Linked DNA regions of Yarrowia lipolytica. The protein of the gene in region 1 purifies or fractionates together with the protein of each later gene. This does not show direct contact. Links are inferred from orthologs where the notes say so. Each region holds a gene or a part of one and is shown in the gene's direction. Other genes may lie near its edges. The genes, in order: YALI1_E03220g and YALI1_B11200g.

Region 1 (4,942 bases):
GCAGCGTCTGCTTGAGCCATGTTGCACATCTGTTGCAAAGCCATTAAGCTTAATAAAATGACAAGTGGGTTAAACTCCGTCTTAGCACTGATTTTCAAAGCATAGCGGCACGCAGGTGCACCCAGGTCTATTCTCGAGTGACCGAGGGTGGGGTGAAAATTCCGCGGTACCAGATCCGGACGTTCCAGCCAAAATTCATGTTACATTCGGAGAAAAGAACACCCCGCAAGGGGCAAATACACTCCCCCTAGCCTGGAAGTATAGTCTTCTCTACATCTTAGCGAAAAGGTACACAGGTACAGAATGTAGTAGTACATACGTAGTGTACATATACTTAGACATCCATTGTGCCATGTTGCAGGGATAACTCCACGCCATATCTGGAAGAGACCGGTATCGTAATTCAAAGGGGTGCTGGTGTTGTAGCATAAACAAACAAAACACAGAGATACTCTTTATATGTCGTTATACTTGTCGATACATTGTAGAGGCGGTTTACTAATCGAATGTATAGGGGCTTACTCTTCAAACGAAGTTGCTGTAGAAACTGAATATACATACTGTGGTAAAATAAGCGTCGCCACGTGTGAAATGGAAGATGCTGAGCATCTCATAAATGAGTCGCCCAACTTTCTTATCTGAAAAGTGCAAAGTGATCTACGCAGCGCCGTTTTCTTAGCTGAACTTAGCCGCTGCCAAGCAAAGGATGAACAGCCCTCGTCCCCTGATTCATGATACAAGTACAGTAACTCTAGATTGACCGCTAACCAAGACTGAACCAGCTCGCAGTTTGGGTTATTCAAAATTGAGATCTAGCTCAGCTGGAAGCTTTGCAGTAACTACAGTTGTAGTATTGACAATATGCTGAATTGACGCAACCATTGATTGTGTAGAGTCTCAACATTGTCGGTGGCTAATAGAGACGTGACACATACTCGGTCATGGCAATATACTGCTTTCGAAACACATTCCTGTGTCAAAGCAATCATCTCCGGCTCCCGCTGTCTGCAGCTGTCAAAACAATGCACTATGAATGTGACACCGAGGCAACGAAATGATGGTTACTCCGAAGTTATAGACACGTGGTTCTTTTAGACAGGATTTCACTCGAGAAGAGAGATTGAAAGACACATCTTATCATGCATGAGGTTCACTCACCATGCAGATATTTATCCCATAAGCCTTTCTAAGCGGCGTATATCACCGACTGACATACAGATAGGACACACTATCAGGACCATTGTAGCCGTTCAAACATATTATATTATATTGTTTGTGTGAACGTTATCAGCTTTGTTATTGAGCGAGAAGCCGTGACTTTGACAAGGAGTAATTAGCTGTTGCACACGTTACAGAGTTTCAGATCCATACAAATCCAGGGTGCTCTTTCGAGCCGTGTTGTTTCATATCCTGAAGCTCTATGGAAGTTGGTACGAGTGTATACGGTATTGAAGTCACTTGTACTCAATGTCCTCGATGCCGTCTACATCCAACATTACGGAGTACAAGCATAATGGCCAAAACCGCGATGACATGGCTGTCTACCCTTGGAGTAATGAGCCAGTGGAAGTGTGTCCCGGTTCATATGGAACGAAGAGACGTTAATGATGATGTATGATGTAGCTACGATAACTGCAGCAGTTCTCTCCGCACTGTAAACACCATGATTACTGTAGGACCAAGGTGCAAAGAACAGCCAAAACAATAATACGGCGTGTATCCGGTTAGTTTGATGTGAGTCCAGCAGGGTGGAGGATGAAGCAGTGATGCAGGAGTCAGCTACATTTTCGGCTTGCTTTTATCGACAAAAACCACCCCACTTCCAGTCCAGGGTCCATGTCACTGTTGCTAACAACCCCGCATGCACTTACCCCAGAGAATGTACGATACGTAAACGGACACCCGTATGCGGACAGGAATCTTTTGGTATCAACAACCGAATGCGTTTCGAAGCCACATACTTACCTACAGTACGTGTACCCCGCGACTCACTCGCACCCACCACAACTCGAATCAATATACACAGGTGATACACACATTAAGTACTGTAGTTTCCATTAAATTTAAATAAAGTAACTAAGTAATTACTTGGCCAACAGATCTCAACTGCGACATCGTATAGAGTTCCAACTCTAAAAAAATTATATGAACTGCATAAGAAAATTCATCGTGCAGCATTCTATTCATACACACGACACAATGGCTAAAAGAAAGAGAGCAGCCCTTTTGCCCACCAACATTGCACTTCTGCAAAATCTGGTGCGACGAGACCCTCCTTCTTACAAGGAGGAGTTTCTTCTCCAGTACCAGCACTATGAGTCCATTCGTGACATTTACATGAACTCGCCTCAGACTGAGAACTCTGAGGAGTTTGGAGATCTCGTTGGATTCGTCGCACAGGTTGCATCGTGCTACCCCAAAGAAACAGCCAACTTCCCCGACGAGTTGTCCAAGCTGATCCTCGATCACCACCAGCATCTCGACGAGGATCTGCGAGAGAAGCTCATCCAGTCTATGGTTCTTCTCAAGAACAAGGGTGTCATCACCCCCGAGAAGCTTATCGCCACCCTCTTCCCCATTCTGCTCATCACTGGCAGCAAGCAGCTGCGAACTCAGATCTACTCCAACATTGTCACCATCGTCAAGGGTGCCAACACTGGAAGCAAAGCTCAGAAGCTCAACAAGTCTGTCCAAGCACTTCTATTTAATGTTCTGTCCACTGGAGAGTCTTCTGGTCTGTGGGCCACTAAACTGACCCGAGAGCTGTGGAGACGAGGTATTTGGGACGACTCCCGAACTGTGGAAATCATGGCTCAGGCTACTCTTCACGGAGAGGCCAAGATTGCCATTTCTGGTGTGCGATTCTTCCTTGGCGCTGACAAGGAGCGAGAGGAGGCTAACGCCGAGGACTCTGATTCCGATGCCTCTGCCGAGATCGGTGCTCTTAAGCATCGACTACAGATCAACAAGAACTCCCGAAAGCGAGGACGAAAGGCCGAGTCTGCCATGAACAAACTGCTGAAAAAGCGAAAGGGTAACGGTGGTGTGTCTGCCACCTACCTCAACTTTTCCGCCCTGCATCTTTTGCGAGACCCCCAGGGTTTTGCCGACCAGCTCTTTACAAACTTATGCAAGTATAGATACGATCTTGAGCAGAAAATTCAGATCATGAACCTCGTGTCTCGAATGATCGGCACACATAAGCTCACCGTTCTGGGCATCTATTCTCATTTCCTGAAATACCTCACCCCCAAGCAGAAGGACGTCACTCAGATCATGGCTGCCGCCGCGCAGGCTTCCCATGATCTCGTGCCCCCTGATGCCATTACACCCATGATCCGAAAGATTGCTGACGAGTTCGTCTCTGATGGTGTTTCTGCCGAGGTTTGCTCTGCTGGTATCAACACCATCCGTGAGATTCTGGCACGAAATCCTCTTGCTATTGAGGCTCCCCTTCTTCAGGATCTTACTGCTTACAAAGGCTCCAAGGCCAAAGCAGTTGTTATGGCTGCTCGATCTCTTGTTTCCCTCTACCGAGAGGTTGCACCCGAGATGCTTGCACGAAAGGATAGAGGTAAGGAGGCATCCATGGCTATGTCTGCTGACGCTAAGGCCGGTACCTCTTCTCGACTCCAGTATGGTATTGAGAAGGGCCAGACCGGTATCGAGGGTCTCGAGCTGTTGGCCAAGTGGAAAGCTGACCAGGTCCAGGAGGAAGATGATGAGAAGGCTTGGGAGGTTGATTCTGACTCTGATGATGACTCTGACGACTCTGAGTCCGGATGGATCAACATTGAGGACGATAAGGAGTACAACATTTCTGACAGTGAAGACGAGGAGGAACTCGACGACGAAGCCAAAGCTGCTAAGGCCCAGGCTGCTGCCGACGCTGCTGCCGAGGCCCAGAACATTATGGCTACCAAGATTCTCACTCCTGCTGACTTTGCCAAGCTCGAGGAGCTCAAGGCCCAGGCGGGCTTCGACAAGCTCATGGGCAAGAAGCTCACCAACGAGGATGAGGTCGATGCTCGTGGCCTGATTGGACCTGTCAAGTACAAGCAGCTGCGAGAGGAGCGAATTGCACAGGCCCAGGAAGGACGAGAAGGACGAGAAAAGTTCGGTTCTCGAAAGGGAAAGCGAGACGCCCCTCACTCCACCACCAACAGAGAGAAGGCCCGAAAGAAGAACTTCATGATGACTATCCACAAGAAGGATGTCCAGGGCAAGGCCAAGAGATCGCTCATCGAGAAGAAGCGTTTGCTGAGAGCTCATATCGACAAGCAGAAGAAGAAGGGATTCTAGTTATAGATGGTTCAGTTATAGCATGGTATAGAAAAAAGGTATTATTTGTTGTATTGATATTATAGACAGCGGATCCACCACTGACAAGCTGTATTGTATTGTATATTAGTAGTTAGTAAGCGTCTGGTGACTGGTAATAGTATGGATAGGATGGCCGTATTTCGTAGGTTGAAAGTTGGCTAGCCATTCCGCCACCTTGTTGACCGTCAAAGTCTCCTCCAAGTACTTCTTGCGGTTGAACTTTTGTTCCACAGAGTATTGTGCAAGCTCCTTTGATTCAGTCACATCAGTAAGATACACGTCGTGAACAGAGTTCCACCTTCCAGGCTGGCTGTTTATCGCGTCGTAATCATCACCATGGTAGGATACTTGGTGGTAAACTTCGTCAAAGTCGCCACTGAGTAAGTCAGTGACACGCTGGAGGTACACAACCTCGTGATGAGGCAATCGGTCGATTAGATTTTGCCATTTTTGCCTGTTCTGAATGTAAACTTGCAATGCTCTGTGACTTGGCCGATGTAAAATCTCCGTCCTCGGAGCATTCAACACAAGGGCATCAGCGAGCGGAGGTGTAGTAGATTCGTCAATAATATCTTCCAGCTTCACAACAGGGGCGTGGTTCGAGTTGTTTCCCTCCATT
Region 2 (5,122 bases), on another chromosome or scaffold:
CGTTGGACTCACTACCTGTGTTCCTTTCCTTCCGGCGCGTCCTTGACTCTTCTTTCAATTTCAATTTGGAATCTATCATAGCTGCTACACACCCTATCGTGAATTTGGACTGGCTGTCACACACCCTCGCGTGAATTCTGGAGAAACAGCGTGGTTCGTGTATCAAGCAAGCTGCTATCTCATTCAACGTCTGTCGCTGAAAGAGCATTGTCTGACGTCGAAGAGACAAGGTGTCCAAGTCATGTTTGGTGATGGACTGTCGCGATGCTGTCGTACAAGCTCCTTTCTTCTTCTAACACAGAACACCCCTCTGTTCATCGGAATCTATCCCGGTGAAGGCGAAACCACCACACAGCTCGAGTACGACTACTCGTCACTAGCATACATGGCTCTGGACTATCTGGGCCAGCAGCAGAACGAAAACGCCGGCACCGTGTCTCTTCTATACGTGCACAAGCTGGCGGTGTACGGTATGCTCACCAACACGGCCAATAAGATTGTGATTGGCTGCGAGGCCCAGGAGGGCTCCGAGAGCATTGAGCAGTTTGCCAAGCAGGTGCTCAAGGTGCTGGTGGCGTACAAGAGCAATCCATTCTACGATGAGACCGAGACTAGCATTGATAGTCAGGGGTTTAGAAAGGAGATGGCCAAGGTGGTGGACAAGTGGAATAAGGGAGAGGCATAGAAAGCGAAGAGTAGCCCAGCAGCTCTTCTGAGCAGACACCAGCGAGAAAAAGCTATCGACATGCTGCTTGGCACGGACCTACAGGTGCTTTCATCTTAACACGTCTTCACTTTTTTTTCTGACGTCCACAGTTGGGTTGAATAAGGTAATGAATTAGTTGAAACCCCAAGTAAATGGTGAGTAAACGCGCAGTAAAAGAAGCTGCATCTAAGGCGTGTCAAGACGTTGATCCGGTGGCAAATAGGCACGTTTTTTGCTTAGTAAGCGATGATCAGGGGATAGTCTCGAGAAACAGATGGTTCAAGGGGGTTATCGAGTGTCAGCACTTGTAGATGAAGTGAGTCACGGAAATTGAATGTGCAGTACTTACTGTAGCTATAAGTAATATCCACAATTACTCTCCCTATAGTTGGACATTCTTGAAGTGTGGTAAAGTCGATCAATATGGCTGTTTTTTTTTTGTCAGCAGAAAACAATAAATATCACCAGGCCAATTGGTGCCAAAGACACCGTTACTACTGTTTCTACACCCTCAAATCTGTTGTATTTTTTCTCCAGATTTTGAAATAAAAAATAAAAAATAAAAAATAAAAAATAAAAAATAAAAAATAAGCTCGGGGTGCATTGCGATGGAAAAAAATATTGGTGCATGAACTTATATTTTTTTGCAGACCAGTGCTTGATCGTGTAACGACTTTTCAGCAGATCTTGATATTGTTGATTTTGGAGCTTTTGGAATTGTGAGTGGGGCGAGACGTCGAGAGCAGCGACTGGAGATTATCCGGCGGACAAAACTAACCCAGAATCTGACACATACATACAGACCCGCCAGCTTCATTCGATTTACCTGTCTTGCAAGACGGAGACCTAGCAGCGACATTACGCTTCAAGTGAGTATGGTGGCGAGCGGGATCTTGGATCTTGGATATTTGAGATTGGAGATTGGAGATTAGATATTGGAGCGATTCTAACACAGATTGCGATTACGACATTGCCCTACGACTACAGGTTCATACATACGATAAACGATACAAAATGGTTGCATCCGGTGACAAGAGTGAGTATCGAGAGAGAGGAGGAGCAAGTAGGGAGAGGAAGGGAGAAAGAGGCAAACACAACTTACAAACAACTGAATAAATGCAAACGACACCAGGTTGTCAGTTGGCCGTGTTACTATGTTGTGTTGTGACGGTGAGCATGGACCATGTCAGCCATGTTTCAAGTGTGACACTTGGAGATGGATGAAAGGTCATTTGAAGCATTGAGTATTGATTTACTTGTCCAAACTGGTGCCATCGTGTCTGTCAACAACATGTGCCACTTGATCCCGGCGGAGGTGACTCTCCTGTTGCCCGATCCCCACTACCGTTGCGTTACTAACCCAGTCACCACATCAATCCCTACTGATTACCAAAACCACACCCTCACGCAATTATCCACCACCGCTTTAACCACACCAATTCTGCCCTCATGCCCCCAAATCGCCCCCGATCTGGTGGCGCGGTGGATCACAAGCGCCAGTAGTGGCGATGACGCCGTTCTCGTGCTCACTGCTCTCGCGCGTGATGTTGCTGTGTGCCCGGGTATCCAGACCCTCTGCTCTCATTTCGTCTCAAAGATGGGCTTCATGGAGATGCTCAAGGTGCCCCAGAGTGAGACACAGACAGAGGCCATTCTGCTCGCCTTCTACCGCCTCGTCTCGTTTGATAGAGAGACGTACGGCGGTCTGGTGGACAAGGAGGTGGTGAGCGGACTAATGTCCTTTGACATGGCCAAGCAGCTGCTGTACAAGGTGTTTGAAATGACCAAATGCGACGCAGAGCTCGAGTACAGAGAGAGCGAGCGCGTGCTGGCTCTGGCACGTGACCTGCTGCCTACCACACACATTCACATCCCCGTTTCGGAGCTCAACTCTCTCAACACTCCTATTGGTTCTTCTTTGATTCCTCGACTTGGAGGACCCTCTCCCGTGGCTTCTGACTACGTGGAGACCGACACGAGTGTTGAAATCATGAATGAGCTGGGCCAGGCGCTCTCCACCAGTGCGCCCATTCTTCTGAGCGGCCCCTCGGGCTCGGGAAAGACCTTCTATGTGAACGAGATTGCCCGCAACCTGTCCAAGCTGGACAACATGGTGCGAATCCATCTCGGCGATCAGACAGACTCCAAGCTGCTGATTGGAGCGTACACCACCGGCTCCAAACCGGGGTCTTTCGAGTGGAGAGACGGTGTACTGACTACAGCCATCAAGGAAGGACGATGGGTACTTGTGGAGGACATTGACCGAGCCCCCACCGATGTGGTTTCGGTTCTATTGTCTCTACTGGAGAAGCGAGAACTCGTCATTCCCTCGAGAGACGAGGTGATCAAGGCCCACGCTGGCTTCCGACTGGTGGGAACCATGCGAAAGAAGATCGGGGCTCACACAAACGAGATTATCGGCTTGCGACTATGGCAGCAGGTGGAGCTCCCGGAGCTGCAGCCCGAGGAGATTGTCACCATCATCAAGGAGCGATACCACGTGATTTCCGCCATGGCCGAGTCCTTCCAAGACACGTTTGCGGCCATTGTCGCTCTGTACGGCTCATCCAGTTTTGTTTCTCTGACGAAATCTGCCGTTTCTCGAGTGGTTTCCCTGAACGACCTAATCAAACTGTGCAACCGAGTGAGTGCCATGATCTTGAGACTCGGATACACGTCTCCAAATGACCCTCTGCCCAACCACGTGTACGAGTTCATCTTTCTGGAGGCTCTGGATTGCTTTGCCGGCTTTCTGAGCAACTCGGACGCCCGAAACAAGGCTGCCCATGTGATTGGAGAGTGTCTGGGCATGTCTGCTCCCAAGGTAGATGTTCTCCTTGGCCGAGTTCCTGCCTACCAGGATAGCAGCGACAGCCTGGAGGTGGGACGAAGCCTGCTGACTAAACAAGTCACTGGCCAGAAGAAGAAGAGCAACAGTCTGTTTGCCAACACCAACCACGCGTCCAAGCTGATGGAGCAGATTTGCGTGGCCATTTCTTCCACCGAGCCGCTTCTTTTGGTTGGAGAAACTGGTACCGGTAAGACCACTGTGGTTCAGAACGTGGCTTCTCTGATGAACAAGAAACTCACCGTTGTCAACGTGTCTCAGCAGACTGAGGCCGGCGATCTTCTGGGTGGATTTAAGCCCGTCGACGTGTCTATGATTGCGGTTCCGTTGATGGATGAGTTCCAGGAGGTGTTTTCGGCCACCTTTTCTGCAAAGAAGAACGTGGAGTTCATGAAGCTGTTGACCCGGGCCTTTAACATCCGCCACTGGAAGAACTGCATTCGGCTGTGGAAGGAGGCGGTCAAGCTGTCTGCTGGACGGCTGAAGGAATCCGAGAGCGGTAAGCGGCGCAAGCTGACCGACAAGGAAACCGTGTCACTGCAGGCTCAGTGGGACCAGTTCCAGAGCAATCTCCTGGCGTTCGAGATCCAGTACAAGCAGATCCAGTCGTCGTTTGTGTTCCAGTTCATCGAGGGATCCATTGTCCAGGCCGTGCGAAAGGGCGAGTGGGTGTTGCTCGATGAGATCAACCTGGCGTCTCCCGACACTCTGGAGGCCATTTCTGATCTTCTGTCCGAGCCCCGAACACTTCTCTTGTCCGAAAAGGGAGACGCAGAGACCATTGTGGCTCATCCAGACTTCAGAATGTTTGCATGCATGAATCCGGCTACCGATGTCGGTAAACGAGACCTGCCTCTGGGTCTCCGGTCGCGGTTCACAGAGCTCTACGTGTCTTCTCCCGACGAGAACTTTGATGACTTGCTCAAGATCATCGACCGGTACATTGGCCACTTATGTGTGTCGGACTCCACTATTGGCATCCACAACGACGTGGCGGACTTGTACTTAACAGCCAAGAAACTGTCTGCCGAGAACAAGATTGTGGACGGAGCGGGCCAGAAGCCCCATTTCTCCATTCGAACGCTGTCCAGAACACTGGTCTACGTGTCGCAGATTGCGCATCTGTTTGGACCCCGAGGGTTGCGTCGGTCGCTGTACGAGGGCTTCTGCATGTCTTTCCTGACTCTGCTGGATGCCGACTCCGAGGCTACTCTCCATGAAGTCATCAAGAAGTACACTGTCAACAAGCTCAAGGACCAAAAGTCGATCATGACACAGAAAACCAAGGCCCCCAGCGACAAACATGTTGCTTTCGAGCATTACTGGCTGGAGCCGGGACCGCTGACTCCCTACGACGACGAGAAGTACGTTATGACGCCGTTTGTGACCAAGAACCTGCTCAATCTGGTCCGAGCCACGTCCGGAAAGTCCTCTGTGCTTATCCAGGGTCCCACTTCTGCTGGAAAAACGTCCATGATCCGGTACCTTGCTCAGAAAACCGGTCACGAGTTTGTGCGTATCAACAACCACGAACACACGGACTTGCAGGAATACCTGGGCACATACGT

Evidence for each region.
Region 2: the proteins of YALI1_E03220g (region 1) and YALI1_B11200g purify together in Saccharomyces cerevisiae (affinity purification with mass spectrometry; 4 studies listed by BioGRID, with this or other methods). This does not show direct contact. The link is inferred for Yarrowia lipolytica from reciprocal best matches to the Saccharomyces cerevisiae genes SDA1 and REA1.

The regions. Positions count from the first base shown.
Region 1 is NC_090774.1:319,214-324,155, reverse strand, and holds YALI1_E03220g (uncharacterized protein), read left to right. Parts: upstream 1-2,145; coding exon 2,146-4,302; downstream 4,303-4,942. Other genes in the region: YALI1_E03185g (uncharacterized protein), read right to left, coding at 4,408-4,942.
Region 2 is NC_090771.1:1,118,153-1,123,274, forward strand, and holds the start of YALI1_B11200g (uncharacterized protein), read left to right. Parts: upstream 1-1,922; coding exon 1,923-5,122. Other genes in the region: YALI1_B11183g (uncharacterized protein), read left to right, coding at 242-685. UniProt on the Saccharomyces cerevisiae protein: Nuclear chaperone required for maturation and nuclear export of pre-60S ribosome subunits.